2 linked regions of the Danio rerio genome follow. The protein of the gene in region 1 binds, or shares a complex with, the protein of each later gene. Links are inferred from orthologs where the notes say so. Each region holds a gene or a part of one and is shown on either strand. Other genes may lie near its edges.

The links. The genes of interacting proteins can lie anywhere in the genome.
Region 2: smarcc1a (region 1) and actb2 share a complex: the UniProt entries of both Homo sapiens proteins name them as parts of the BAF complex. The link is inferred for Danio rerio from reciprocal best matches to the Homo sapiens genes SMARCC1 and ACTB.

What each region holds. Positions count from the first base shown.
Region 1 is NC_133191.1:46,865,982-46,873,577, reverse strand, and holds part of smarcc1a (SWI/SNF complex subunit SMARCC1), read left to right. Parts: intron 1-944; coding exon 945-1,016; intron 1,017-1,154; coding exon 1,155-1,268; intron 1,269-2,884; coding exon 2,885-3,038; intron 3,039-3,129; coding exon 3,130-3,240; exon of another isoform or gene 3,241-4,147; intron 4,148-4,462; exon of another isoform or gene 4,463-4,735; intron 4,736-4,867; coding exon 4,868-4,927; intron 4,928-5,008; coding exon 5,009-5,267; intron 5,268-5,819; coding exon 5,820-5,981; intron 5,982-7,596. UniProt on the Homo sapiens protein: Involved in transcriptional activation and repression of select genes by chromatin remodeling (alteration of DNA-nucleosome topology).
Region 2 is NC_133178.1:39,480,937-39,489,070, reverse strand, and holds the start of actb2 (actin, cytoplasmic 2), read left to right. Parts: upstream 1-3,782; 5' UTR 3,783-3,795; intron 3,796-5,020; 5' UTR 5,021-5,110; intron 5,111-6,471; 5' UTR 6,472-6,478; coding exon 6,479-6,601; intron 6,602-6,691; coding exon 6,692-6,931; intron 6,932-7,219; coding exon 7,220-7,658; intron 7,659-7,743; coding exon 7,744-7,925; intron 7,926-8,010; coding exon 8,011-8,134. UniProt on the Homo sapiens protein: Actin is a highly conserved protein that polymerizes to produce filaments that form cross-linked networks in the cytoplasm of cells.

The DNA of each region.
Region 1 (7,596 bases):
CGACGCAACACACCCTCGGTCCCGCCCTTCAGTAGGCGCGCAACAACACAGTTGATCAGAACGCGCGCGACAACACAGCTGTTTAGTACCCGCTCTTCAAAAAATTTATCCTGCACATGCCCTTTGGACGGTTTCTGCACGGGCCTGGTCTCATGACACTTTAATGACCTTTCGTAAACATATTTTTTACCTTTTAAAATAAGAATAATTAGACCTCATAAAATAAAAACCAATCCTATTCGTTTGCAGTGAGATTTAGAGAGCTTTGAACAATTAGCAATGTTGTTCCATAACCAAAAAACCGAATTTAAAAATTTGTAAAATTAGCCTTATTTCTCAATTTATTGGACTCCAGAGAAACTCCAGGGATTGTATGAGTGCTTAAAAATGTAGTTGTGTTGCTTTCTTAATTTATCGTATTAAATAAATAATCAAAATTCACTATTCGAAAAAAATAGTGCCTGTAACATGTGCCACCCTTTTATTTTACTCTGCCCTAAGCAGTGGGAGAAGACAAAATGAATGGAGATTACCGCTTCATAAGTAAACAATGACTTAAATTAAACAAAATATACATTTGAGAAGAAAGATAGATGACATTTATGATTTAACTGACTTTATGATGTAATTCACTATAGTTTAAAATAGTTATTTAAATGGTAAATTACAGTTGGCATTTGAGAAAATGCCATTAAATTTTTTTCTTGGAATTCTATACAACAGAATACTGTAACAAATGGCATCTGATATAATGTGACAAAGTATGTATATTTATATAAATATATAATTTGTACATCTTGGAAAGTGCTTAAAGTGTTTAAATTTAACTCTGGAAAATGTGTAAGAATTCTGAAACTCCCACATGCATTATCTATTAGTTTTATGCATTGTGCAATTGAATTGAGTCATAAAGTTTAATGCATATTAAATGTCCTTTTTTCCAGTATACATGAAATTGAGAGACGTGCCCTGCCAGAGTTCTTCAATGGCAAAAACAAATCGAAGACTCCGGAGATGTACGTTCAACCTTGTACTTCTGTCATGTAGACTAGACTTTTATATAAGATCAACATGCATCATCCTGTTGTGTTTCTTTGTGGTTCTTTAGTTCATGTTTGTTTTGCTGTCTAAATTGCCTTTTCTCTTATTTGTAGTTATCTTGCCTATCGTAACTTCATGATTGACACTTACCGGCTGAATCCTCAGGAGTACCTGACCTCAACCTCCTGCAGGAGGAACCTCACTGGAGATGTCTGTGCGGTCATGAGGTCAGAATTCTCATTTAAATATCTGACTTCATTATAATAATATACAGAGAGTGGGTTCAGTTGGACTTTCAATTTTAGTTGGTGTGGCTATTTCAAGTATGAAAAGACATCAGTAATTTAATGTTGCATTTCCGTCAAGCCATTTAAAGTCCATAGCAAATCAAAAGTTGCTGATGTGGCAATGTGCAAACCATATTTAGCTCAGTGTTGGATATATTAAATAACAAAATCTAAAAATCTGTTTTAATGTTATTTTTTTTACCCTCTCATTGAATTATTAAGTTGTCTATATTAGCACATTCATTGTTGCATATATGTATATCTACATTTGTTTAATAGTTTTAGATTTTTCATTAGTTTTAGCTTTTTTTTTTCAAATTAATTTAGCTTTAATTTCTTTTAGAGATAGATTTACTAGTTTTTATTAGTTTTTATATTTTGAAATTGCTTAGTTTTAGTTTAGTATTTATTAGTTTCACTGTTCTATTTATTAAGTTATTTTTTTATTTTTTTGTAAATTAGGATAATTGTTAGGTGCAAGATTCAAAATCATGAGAGCATAATTGAAAACTCAAACAAGAATAGGCTACATTTTGACACAAGAACCCTACCATCTACCCATTCTCAATAGCCCACAAGATAGCAGCTTGAAGTAAAATATGTGTGCAATGCTGCTTCTGAGGGTAAATGCACAGTAGTGATGGGTGGTCAGTCTTCCCAGACACAGCAGGCTGTCATGTACTGTTTGTGTTCGATTCACCATCTGATGAATCACCCATGCGAGTTATAATTGGTTCAGCTTCTCAAATATAATCTGTGTACTGTTCTAATAACTGAATAACTCTATGTAATGGTTTATTTAAAGTTAGAAAGGGGTATCAGGCATGTTGAAACGCAAGTTGTTTGTGGGTAAGTGCTTAACGTTACTGAAGACTCAAATCATTTCAAATTTCACATTTTACTTAGAAGATCCGGTTAAAAAAAATTTAGCAGATAGATTTACTTCTAAAAGGCTTACAGTATTTATTAAATACATTTACAAAGACGAAATTGAAGAACTTTTCTGCTATAATTTTAGTTAGTTTGATTATACACAATGCAGTTTCAGTTATCGAAAATGTTTCTCAATTCTAGTTTTTGTTTTTTTCATTTGTTTTGGTTAACTATAATAACCTTGCATTGATCTTGCCATGAAATAGCCATAAGTTGCTGTGACAATAAACAAACAAATAGCTAAAAAAAAATACTAAACATTTCCATTATATGTTCATATTCATAGTTACTTGACTCATTAGTATTTAATGTATAATTGAACAAATTTGTCATAAAAAATAATTGTACTTTTGAACAAACTGGAATTTAGTGTGAATATAAAAAGGTAAACTTTGAATTAAATGTTTGTTTACAAGTTTATTTAAACTTGGAATTTGAACAAATAATTGAAATTTACCAAAAATGGTAATGTTTGACAAACTTTTAAAACTGTGCCTGATCTATACCTTAATGAAATAGAGATGAGATAGGATTTTATCTGAATCTTGAGCTTAAAAATCAAATTGTAAATTGTCAATACGGAGCCCTATTGTGCATTTTCATTGTGTTTTTTTTCCTCCCAGAGTGCATGCCTTCTTGGAGCAGTGGGGACTGGTGAACTACCAGGTGGACGCGGAGAGCAGACCTCTCCCTATGGGCCCTCCACCAACCTCACATTTCAATGTTCTGGCTGATACTCCCTCTGGCCTGGTGCCGCTGCACCACCGTCCCCCACAGGTGAGACTGGGGTCACTTCCTTTTTAATTCCCAGAAGGCACGAGGCTTTCTTTTGAATCTGCTACAACAAATTCTCTGCTGTTCCTGCCAGGTTCCCCCTGCTCAGCAGATGCTGAACTTCCCAGAAAAGGGCAAAGACAAGCCAACCGACCTGCAGAACTTTGGCCTCCGTACAGATATTTACTCCAAGAAGAATCTCAAGGCAAGTCGCAATCCCTGTGCCTTCTGCCAAACCCAATACTGCTCGCTCTTCTGTCTTTTATAGTTCCTTGATGTGATTATGTGGAACATTTGTTTCAGGACTCTCTGCTGTTTCTTCCTTTAGTTCGGTTTGTTTAGGCATATAGATGTAGTTTTAATGTTCTATTGCACAGCAGTTGGTTCGAGATGAAAAATTGTTAGATTCAATTAACTAAATTGTAATTCCTGAACCGAAACAAATGTTGCGCAACAAGCAGCAGTGTCTAATACCGCTTTTCCAACAGCATGAACCGGGTGCTAGTTCAGAGCTAGAGCTAGAGGCTCTTGCAGTTTCCGGACTAGTTCATCTGGCGAGCCTTCTATGAACTACTTCGCTTTTCGATAGGCTAGAGTGCCACCTTAAAGCATTGGTTTAAAGTCAGTGAAATACAATTGCAGAAGTGGCAGATATATACATACCATCAATGTTGCATTACCATTTATTTCAATGGATTTGCAGATTCATGTCAACATGTAAACACAGCGAATCCGACGTGTTCGAGGAGTGTGCTGTATTTTGTAGAGAGAGTGATAGTGCGTTTCATCAAGAAATAATAAATGTTCATGCATGTTTTATTTGAGTAGACTGAGATAACAAGTGATAATAACGTTTGGTATCGTGTTCTGCTGCGGTTTAAAAAATGGTGGTTATTGTTTGTCCTGTCGATCACCGTAGCTCTGCCCTCATCCTCTGAACAAGCAATATTTGTTTCTAGCCAAACGATGGTTTGATGCCACTTTAGAATCACTTTGCCTGGTTCGGAGCTTTGGCTGTTGCAACAAAGAACCGATTTTGGACTTGCAGTATGATTCTCAGAGTAAGCACAATAGTTATTGCAAACAGAGTCTCCTCTTATGGGAAGTGCTTTGTATGGGAAGTGCCATGTATGCCTAGATAAAGCCATAAATAAGCCCATGGAGTCATTTTATCAATCCATCTAGACCAGGCGTGGGCAAACTCGGTCTTGGAGGGTATGTGTCCTGCACAGTTTAGCTCCAACCCTAATCAAACACACCTGCTTATAGATTTCTTGTGATCTTAAAGACACTGATTAGCATGTTCAGGTGTGTTTGACTAGTGTTGGAACAAAACTCTGCAGGGACACCGGCCCTCGAGAATCAAGTTTGCCCGTCCCTGATCTAGACGGATAATGCAGAGGCATGTGCAATCTGACCAATATCAGGACCATTGTGGGGGGAGAGTTACTTTTAAAAGTAATGCATTAAAATAACGAGTTACTCCCCAAAAAAGTAACTAGTTGCTTTACTTAATTTATATGGAAAGTACTGTTACATTACATGGAGTTACTTTTGCATTACTTTTTTTTTTTTTTACCTCTCTAAGGCTTTATCTCTTTTAAAACTTTAGTTTTTTTTCTTTTTTGATAGAGAAGCTCTGCAAATAACACACTTTATAACCTTCATTTACCTTAAAGAAACTACCTTAAAAATAATAATAATAATAATTTAGGATAAAGTTATCTTCTGAGAACTTACTGATTTTTAATATTGTCATGAATTCCAAATATTGACATTTAAAGTTTATTTTAAAGCACAATCTAAAAACCCCTTACTCTTTTGCTTTACAGGGTAAAGGAGCTGCAGGTGGCAGAGACTGGACAGAACAAGAAACATTGCTTCTGTTAGAGGTAAGATCAGACTCAACACTTCTTTCACACACCTTTTCATTTTCTTGATATTAATATATATTTTTAAACTGCTTGGTACAGGCTTTGGAAATGTACAAGGATGACTGGAATAAAGTTTCTGAGCATGTGGGCAGTCGTACACAAGATGAGTGCATCTTGCACTTCCTGCGGTTGCCCATAGAGGATCAGTACCTGGAGAGCTCTGACGCTTCGCTAGGCCCTCTTGCCTACCAGCCGATCCCATTCAGTCAATCAGGGAATCCAGTTATGAGCACGGTTGCGTTCCTCGCCTCTGTTGTGGATCCGCGTGTGGCCGCGGCTGCTGCCAAAGCTGCTCTGGGTATGTCCAGTTTGTCCAATATACATCTTTTAAAGTACACATGAAGTCAAAGCAAACCATATTGATTTTGTTAGCTCACATTGCTGGTTTTGTTGTGAGTAATTCATCTGCACATTTCATTATGATAAAAAAGGTTTGTCTGTGTAATCTAAAATTTAAATCTGAGAATGCACTTACTGTTTGATTTTAGTTAAATTGTCAGATTACATCTGTGTGAGGTATTGGGAGTGGCTAGCATACCTAACCACACCCCTCCAACTGTCAGTTTTAACAACCAACATAAATTGTGAGGAGGAGGTGATGTCTGTTGGGTTGTAATGACTCTCCCGAGACCCTTTTACTGATCTTTCTGAATGAAATACCTGCTTTACTACATCCAATCAGCTTGCAGTACAAAAAACTAGTCACACCTACTGTTGGCACATTTATTTAGTTTGTCTGGAAACTGCATCGCAATACAAAAATAAATGGTTGCAACTACAGGTTCATGTGGACTTTAATGATGTGTCTCTACCTGTATTTTAAGAATATATTTCTCTTTATGGATTATAGATGAGTTCTCCCGTGTGCGTGAGGAGGTTCCTGCAGAGCTAGTGGAGGCTCATGTGAAGAAGGTGCAGGAAGCCGCACGCAGCACAGGGAAAGTGGACCCTGCATTTGGCCTGGAGAGCAGTGGCATTGCTGGCACAGCTCCTGAAGAACCCGAGAAGACGGGTAAGAACTTTTATACCAATTCATTAACTGCTCTGATTGGATTAGAGATTTCCATCTTGCCTACACAACGGACTTTACTTCAGCTTTGATGTAAATGCTTGGTGTATGCATACTGACAAATACAGTCGTCAGTGCATGAAATTTGCACTACGCTCTCTGTACTCATGGCCTAGCACAGTGGTTCCCAAATCGTTTTAGTCAAGGATGCATTGGGTTCTGCTAGTGCAGGTCTTGAGATCAGATGAACAATCAAAATATTGAGGTATTCAGCAAAAAATAAATAAAGTTAAGTAAGAATAGTGACTAAGAGGTGCAATGTATAATTATTTCTTGTCAATTAAACATCATGAAAGTACAGTGGCCCAAAGAGCTTAACATGCTGCAATTTAAGAAAACACATGCATTTATGAAAAACATTAGCAAATTGAGAAAGGATCTCCATCCGATAACACACGTGCTGCAAATCCTTACAAAGCAAACTAGTTGTTTTTAAAAACAGACCGGGGGGTTTTAACTTTTTAGGACACATGACACCAATTTCACTTGTGCCTAGCCAAGTTTGCAGAGCCTTGATGGTGTGGTTGAGTCGAACATAGAGTATGTATACGTAGAACACCAATACTTTAATAGATTTTAATACAATTAAGACAATAAGAGTCTAGCGTGTAAACAGCGATTTTTGATGACCTTAATCAGACTTCAAAATTAAACTAAACAGAAATAGAATTAACGTGGAGTATGCATATATTAGTGGCATTATGGAAGTAAACATTGCAGTCAAACTATTACTGTCATGTAGGACTTTTTGCGCATTTTGCGTCAAGATCCTCATACACAGATGTCAGTAAAGTACTGCAGACACGCACATCGCAAAATGCAGAAGTTTTCTTTTCTGTCCATTTGGCGTGCGGTTTTAAATTCCATTGAAACAACACTTCTCCATCAGTCCTTACTCCTTATTTGCATCTAGTACCCCAGTTTGTCACGGGGGCATAAATGAAATGTTCATGAGTGAAACTGGAACTGGCGAACTGAAGTCACCCAAAATTACTGAAATCTCGGCAGGAAACGTGGATACCCTGGTGATGCAACATTTAAAAAGCACTTCACGTAAACACCTTGATTATATTATTGTCTATTAAGACAAATAACTAGATTACTGATGTCCATGTAAACATAGTCAGTAATGTCTTCGAAGTAAGTGAAAGATCCAGAAGGGCATCCTGCTGATTTGATTCTAAAGGGCACTTTTTTTGTCAGAAGGCTCCCTGGCTTTACTTTTATTCACCGTCCTTCATTTTAAAAAGACAAAATGGTCCATTTTAATTTGTATATATTTCACTCAAACAAATTAACTCTACAGGTGCCTGAAAGTCAGCTGTGGAACTAACGTTAATCAGATTCACTCTAGTGAACGCATAAAAATCATCATCATAAATTATTCTAGTGCACGTCTCAACGTCTCCCCACAGGTTGAAAACCCCTCATTTAGACTACATAAATACAAAAGACAAGAGAATTCAGATGTTAAAATAAACAAATAACTTGCCTTTCAAAGATCACCTACAACTTCACTGAGCAATGGTCACGGCACAGCAGTATTCGTCATGTTCTT
Region 2 (8,134 bases), on another chromosome or scaffold:
ATGAATATGATTGATGCAATCTCTAGAGCAGCATGTTGAAATGATCCCAACATGACTTATTTATATCTCAGTAGCAGAGATTGAGCCCCTGTTTAGCAGTGGGCACAGTGGGGTGCTAATAAGCCCTTGATCTCTATTGATCAGCCAGCACTGAAGCGAGCAGAACTTTCTTATACAGAGAGCATTATGTACACATTTTGAAAGCATATGCAGCCTTAAAGAGATAGTTCACCCCAAAATGTACAAGTTTTCCACTTTGTCACTCCAAACCTTGGTGACTGTCTTCTGTGAAACACAAAACAAAAATATTTTTTGACTGTTTTTGTCAGTAGAATAAGTGTTTAGAAATAATCATTCAATCATTCATTCATTTTCTTTGGCTTAATCCCTTTATTCATCAAAAGTAGCCACAGCGGAATGAACCGCCAACTTATCCAGCATATGGATGCCCTCCCAGCTGCAACCTAATCATTCAATGTAATAACAAAACGTTAATCTTCGCAGGAACTACCGCTAAAATATGACAAGTGACAAACCCAAGTATGCAAAGCAATATGTTGACAATTTTGTACATGCAAGCAAACAGCCATAAATGGACTAGCGGTCCTCCCCTACCAGCTTTTACAGCAAAGAGGAAGTGAAGCTTTGCAATGGCAAGAAAGGACACGGTGACAACTGTTCTGCTGAGGAACATAAATGAGGAACAAGGCTTTTTTTTCTTGATTAGTATCAAATCCTGTTGCAAGTGGTTTGACAATACAAATGAAGACACAAAATATGTCTTTGTCTGCTGAAGTAACACCATTTTGAATGTAAACCCACTATGATGTATCTTAAATAATGATTTGTCACATAATATTGCATAAGAGAAAAGTATCTAATTATTTACACTCATATAAGGCGATGAGTAACCACATATGAATCCATTTGGGTCATAATGTAGGGGGTTAATCCAATCTCTAGACTAAGAGGCCAGCTGTCAGTATATATGTGACTTCCTTTCAAGCCTGAGTATCTGCACCATCAAGCAACCAAGAACAAGTCAATCTAAAATCAATCGGTGGTCCTTCTGCTGTTTATAGGACAAATGAAGGGCTTCGCTTCCGCTATTCCCAAGACAAGGAGGGTAAAAAAAAAATACATAAAAGAAAATAAGGAAAGAAAAAATATCAGGAATTCCAGTTTGAAGAAACTTTTCAAGACTCACCTTTTCACTGTTGGTCTTAATTTAGGTTGATTATTTTTGTCAATTTAATAATTACATTGTATTGTTCATATTTTATTGTCTTATTGTGGTGTTTTTACAGCTTTTTTATTGTTCTGCTTTGTTACTGTTTGCCTTGTATGCATTGTAGCGCTTTGGGTCTGAGAAAAGCGCACTATAAATAAACTGTATTATTATTATTAGGGATGGACATCACGGTGGCGCGATGGGTGGCACAATTACCTCACAGCAAGTAGGTTGCTGTTTAGAGCCCCGGCTGGATCAGTTGGCAGTTCTGTGTGGAGTTTGCATGTTCTCCCTGTTCAAGTAGGTTTCCTCCCGGTGCTCTGGTTTCCCCTCACAAGTCCAAAGACATGATGTATAGGTGAATGGGGTAAGCTAAATTGACCATAGTGAGTGTGTGTGTGTGTGTGAATGAGAGTGTATAGGTGTTTCCCAGTGTTAGGTTGCAACTGGAAGGACATCTGCTGTGTAAAACATATGCAGGATAAGTTGGCGGTTCATTCCCCTATGGTGACCCCTGGTTAATTAAAGGACTAAGTTGAAAATGAATGAATGAATGAATGATTAGAGATAAACCGATACCACTTTTTTACAAACCGATATGAGTACAAGTATAATAGTTTCTGTTACTCGACAATACTGAGTACCGATTCTGATACTTCTTGGATTTGGTTTCAATGTAATTAATTTGAAAGAAGGTTTTATTTCTTGCCTGTCGCAAGGATGAACACAAAAATCTTTACCAGAAGGATATTTTAAGCTAAGAATATACGCACGTTGTTGACAACCCTGTATCGATTACCGATTAAACGTGGACATTTAAAGGATAAGTTATGCTTGCGCCATCACAACTTTACACATTACATGATCAAAGATCATATTGAATATTCGGTTTATTCGTCAGAAGCCTATAGATTTGTTAAAAGTGTATTTTATAAACGGATGGTTTATAAAGACTAAGCTATTAATATATCAGACATTCATTAATACATCAAGACATCGATGTCAGGTAGGACAACAAATCACATCCATGTAATGAAATCTTGTTGAGTGGTATTGGTGCGTGGTTTCAGCATTTCATGTGCAATACGAGTAAGAATATTTTAACCAAGTATCGACCCAAAACCTGATACTGGTATCGGTGCATCCCTTATTATTATTATTATCAAAAACACACTTGTTTTATTTATGTGGGTGCCAAACAACAAACTATGAAATGCAGCATGACACGCCCAAAAAGTGTTCCTTTGAGAACAACTTCATAAATATGTTTCTTATCATTATGCATGAATGGTGTACTGGGAGAGCTTTGGTATCAGAATTGAGATAAGAGACTTTGGCATTCTAAAGGACAATGACATTATCACACTGACAGTCAACAACACTTTATTGCTCTGGAAATCTTATGTCATGGGGCAAAGCTGAGGTTCATTAGGACAGTACCTTATTTAGAGATGAATGGGAAGGCTGTAGTGGGCTGCTATCAGGGAAGGGTGGTGGTCCTCGGGGGAACTATGGACTCACAAAAGCACATCTGCTGTAACAAGATCCCCTGTGCAATCTACAAAAGTTACAAAGAGAAGCATGGTTGGTTAAAAAATAGAATTGACTGGATATGCTGAATGCATTGTTTGTTGTGTGTTACATCACATTAACCACAGATTGGTGCTAAATATTTGCTTATCTTATAAAAACCTGTGTGTTTATAAAGGGGGGTGTGGATGGATGCTTGGCATTCTTTGAAAAGATGTTGGGGGATGGAAGGAGGAGACCTTATTGATGAGTATCCAGTTTGCAGATAACAAGTTTTTAGACATTCATACTATGATGCTGTTTATGTCTGTTTTTTCTCATTTTTTCTATACACAAACAGCTATAAAACATTCACTTTTATATCTGATGCTGTATATTAAATTTCGTTGTATTTATTCTGTTTGCTCTGTTGGGTCATAGCTAGGGCCAGACAGAATCTGCTGACATTTTTTGCTTTTTCTGCAGAGAATTTTGTAAACAATCTGTGATTTATGCGAGATTTTTTCGGGAGTATCGTAACTAAAAACTTACTATATGAAATAAAAAAAAATAATACCTTTTTAACTTTTAATAAATATATACAATGCAAGTCCACCTAGATCCAATTATTTGGTCGACAAAGCAAGTCTCTCACATAATATATCTTCTAAAAGACAGAAAACATTACTTTCAGACCATATTGTAATCAAATGAACACTTTCATATTAGTCAATAATATTACGGAAATGTATTTAAAAACTGAATAAACATATATTTACACCTTTGTCTTTATTTCTAGAGTGCTTTTACAATGTAGATTGTGTCAAAGCAGCTTAACTTAGAGGATTAGTATAGTAAATTGAAACTGTGTCAGTCCATTTTTTAAGAGTTTAAGTTCAGTTCAGTTTAGTTCAGTGTGAGTTAATTTTTACTGCTGAGAGTCCAAACACTAAAGAGCAAATCCAAATACACAAGTCAATAAATAAACTCAATGATGGGCTAAAGATCTGGGGAAATCTGCAGATTTCTGTGCGCACAGATTCTGTGTGGGCCTAGTCATTACCTATACTCAACGTTTACTCTGAGAAACTTCCATATTTTAGAGGTAAAATGCTCAGAATTGTAAAAAGTCTTGTCAAAATACTTGGAATTTGCCAAAAACAAAATAAAAGTCACATCACCTCATTGTCCTTGGTATCAGCAAGCACTTTTAACACAATCAGCTGTTTTTGTTTATAACTCCCACTGAAGGCCATGTGCATTACTCCCAAGTTACACAGTAAAAAGTCACATGTAGTTTATCATGATCACTGCTGCTCAAGCACAGCTTTATCTGTTATTCAGTGTGGCAATATCTGAAATGTGTGCAAAATATTATTTATTGTAGCTGATCACCAACACTTTCAGTGTTTTTTTTTTCTACTTTTAATGAGAATTATGTTCTTAGGATTTATCCTTATAAACCTCTTTAAAAAGAAATGTTATGTCTGCATAGACACGACATGAAATTATGAACAGAAAATTTAACTATTTAAGATCAAGACTTGACATATAACATTTCTAATGAACATTAAACCTGAGGTAGGCCCACTTGCAAAAATGTAACTGCTATCACTCACTTTATACATCATTGTGTAACTTGTACACACAAAAATAGTGAAGCAATGTGGCATGGAATGCAGGTCCCATTCATTCAAAGTTATTAAAGCACTTTCTTAAAGTGCATTACTACTGAGCTAAGACCAGCTAGTTGCTCATACAACATACTACAAGTAGTGTCATCCTAATTTGGATAAAAAAAATGTCCATTTTATACATGGAAAAGTACTCATTAGATCCCCCATTGTTTGTATTACGGTATTTCGTGAACACAAGAGGTAAATGACCTACAGAGCTGCTGTTGTGTTAGATTGAAAACACAACACAGGATCATGGAGGCATCCATCATTATGACGCATTCTGCCACTTGTAACTCTGCACAGACTTTTTGAAAAGTTTAATTGAGTCTTGGCGTTGTCGCAGAAAAATACGAAAAATTCTGTGTTAAAATTTGCAAATAAAAATTCCAGTTTTATAGGAAATCGCCATGGCCTTGTTCTTTAACCAGTTAAGCTTCCCCTTCTTTCACTCTCAAGTTGCAAGAAGCAAGTGTAGCAATGTGCACGCGACAGCCGGGTGTGTGACGCTGGACCAATCAGAGCACAGAGCTCCGAAAGTTTACCTTTTATGGCTAGAGCCGGGTATGTGCCGTCATATAAAAGAGCGCGCCCAGCTTTTCAGCCTCACTTTGAGCTCCTCCACACGCAGCTAGTGCGGAATATCATCTGCTTGTAACCCATTCTCTTAAGTCGACAACCCCCCAAACCCAAGGTGAGTTGGTTTTACAGTTTTTAAGCGTTTAATTATAGTTTCTATCTATTAATGTTAAGTAAAATGTGTAAATGGATAAATATGATTTGATGAAGTCTTTAGACAGTTCATAACGGTCTCTTTGTAGTTATCTACTAGGTTTGATTTATAAGTGGTGGTTCTTTTGATAATCTATGTTACATTTAATAAATATTGGCTGTATCTTAACTTTTTTGTAGCGTTAGTGGATGTGGCAGGTGAGAATGTCGGTAATTTAACGTGACCAGTCGTAGGCACGACATTGAACATTGAATAGGCCGGTGTGAAATGGGTGTTAAGTCTTAATATAAAGTTGTGTTCTGGCTAATCTCTCTTTAACAGCCATAAATGTGATTTTTAACTACAGTTTTGAGGGTGCTGGTGAGCATGTTGCACACTTGATGGATAGCCGGCATGGGAAGTTCTTTGTGCAGGCAGTGCTGCAGCAGGGTGTGACCTACTTTAGCTAGCCGGCTAACCAGCTCTCATCTGATGTAACGTAAACCCCATCAATCTAACATCGGCTCATTCGTGCTTTATAAGATCGAAGATCTTGTTATTAGTAACGGGTATTGGCATTTAGTTTTAACTTGGTTAATTTTCTTTTTGTTATGTGTTCTATTTAAATGTAGCCTGCAGCCCCCTCTGTCTTTAATGAAGCTGAAGATTAACGTTAACGTTAGTGAAGTGTTGTATCCGCTATGAAAGATTTGAATTTTAGAGGTGTGGTCCACTTTAATAACGGCTGCGGAGTTCTCTGGCTGCACTTCAGCCGCTGTGACTGTCGAAGCAGAGCCCATCAGTTTTTCAGGATCTCGGTGATTTTTGAGGCTAGACTATGAACTGAACCGACTGAGAGTGACCGTCCAGAAATGCTTTAGTGTGAAGTCTCCGCTCACGAGGAGTCCGTGGACTGACTGCAGATCTGTGACGCAGTAACACCCGGCGGCAGACACCCGTTGAAATGCGGTTGTGTAATTGATCGCAGGCGAGGGTGGAAGAGGATGTGAAACTTCATTTGTGTAAAATTTAGGGAGTGGTCCTGGTGTGATGAATGTCGAAATCTGTTCCTTTTTACTGAGCCCTACGACTCTGGCTGAGTGCCACACCGCCGGCAGCCGCAAAGCGGCTCAAACCATTGCCTTTTATGGTAATAATGAGAGAATGCAGAGGGACTTCCTTTGTCTGGCATATCTGAGGCGCGCGCTGTCACTAGCGCCCACCAGCGGTCAGACTGTAGAATGCAGAGCAAAACAGGAAGTTGACTCCAGATGGTCACATGCTTGCTGAAACGCCTCTCCCTGGCAGCAGTGCAATTCTAACAGTTTCCCTTTCTTTTACAGTTCAGCCATGGATGATGAAATTGCCGCACTGGTTGTTGACAACGGATCCGGTATGTGCAAAGCCGGATTCGCTGGAGATGATGCTCCCCGTGCTGTCTTCCCATCCATCGTGGGTCGCCCCAGACATCAGGTGAGAAGACCGATTAGTTTGATTCTGACCCAAACTGAGAACTTTCTCAAGTAGTTCACAAAATGTAACGCTTGTGTCCTTGCATTACAGGGTGTCATGGTTGGTATGGGACAGAAAGACAGCTACGTTGGTGATGAGGCTCAGAGCAAGAGAGGTATCCTGACCCTGAAGTACCCCATCGAGCACGGTATTGTCACCAACTGGGATGATATGGAGAAGATCTGGCATCACACCTTCTACAACGAGCTGCGTGTTGCCCCAGAGGAGCACCCCGTCCTGCTCACAGAGGCCCCCCTGAACCCCAAGGCCAACAGGGAAAAGATGACACAGGTTGGTTTTTGTCTTGCAAACCGTTCTCTGAAGCCTCTCGTCTGTCCCGTTTCCTCATTTTAAGTTCTCCTGTTCATTGGTTCACTTCCTCCAGGCTTTGTGTCCTCTGAGCTCCTGAGTTTCTCCTCTTCTCAGCAGGTTATCCAAACTTTGCCTGCCTGTTTTGCAGTTCCTTCTGCACTTTTTGTTCCTTTACTCTGGATTTCTGACTAACCCCTGCATGGAAGTGTGGATTGTGTGCTGCAGACACTTGAACATCCAGTTAACGTCTCCATCCTCTCTTTGCAGATCATGTTCGAGACCTTCAACACCCCCGCCATGTACGTTGCCATCCAGGCTGTGCTGTCCCTGTATGCCTCCGGTCGTACCACTGGTATCGTGATGGACTCTGGTGATGGTGTCACCCACACTGTGCCCATCTACGAGGGTTACGCCCTGCCCCATGCCATCCTCCGTCTGGACTTGGCTGGCCGTGACCTGACTGACTACCTCATGAAGATCCTGACCGAGAGAGGCTACAGCTTCACCACCACAGCTGAGAGGGAAATTGTCCGTGACATCAAGGAGAAGCTCTGCTATGTGGCCCTTGACTTTGAGCAGGAGATGGGCACCGCTGCTTCCTCCTCCTCCCTGGAGAAGAGCTACGAGCTGCCTGACGGACAGGTCATCACCATTGGCAATGAGAGGTTCAGGTGCCCAGAGGCCCTGTTCCAGCCATCCTTCTTGGGTAGGTTTCCTCACAAACATTTATATATCTCTCTGTGTGTAGTCGTTTTGAAGAGCTTTGGCTAATGTTTGCTCCTCCTCTGCAGGTATGGAATCTTGCGGTATCCACGAGACCACCTTCAACTCCATCATGAAGTGTGACGTCGACATCCGTAAGGACCTGTATGCCAACACTGTATTGTCTGGTGGTACCACCATGTACCCTGGCATTGCTGACAGGATGCAGAAGGAGATCACATCCCTGGCCCCTAGCACAATGAAGATCAAGGTGAGCTGCAGTCTAAGCTTTGACCTTTACCTCACAGTTGAACCACATGTGTGGCAACTCGTGCTAATCATCCGTCTCTCCACAGATCATTGCCCCACCTGAGCGTAAATACTCTGTCTGGATCGGAGGCTCCATCCTGGCCTCCCTGTCCACCTTCCAGCAGATGTGGATTAGCAAGCAGGAGTACGATGAGTCTGGACCATCCATCG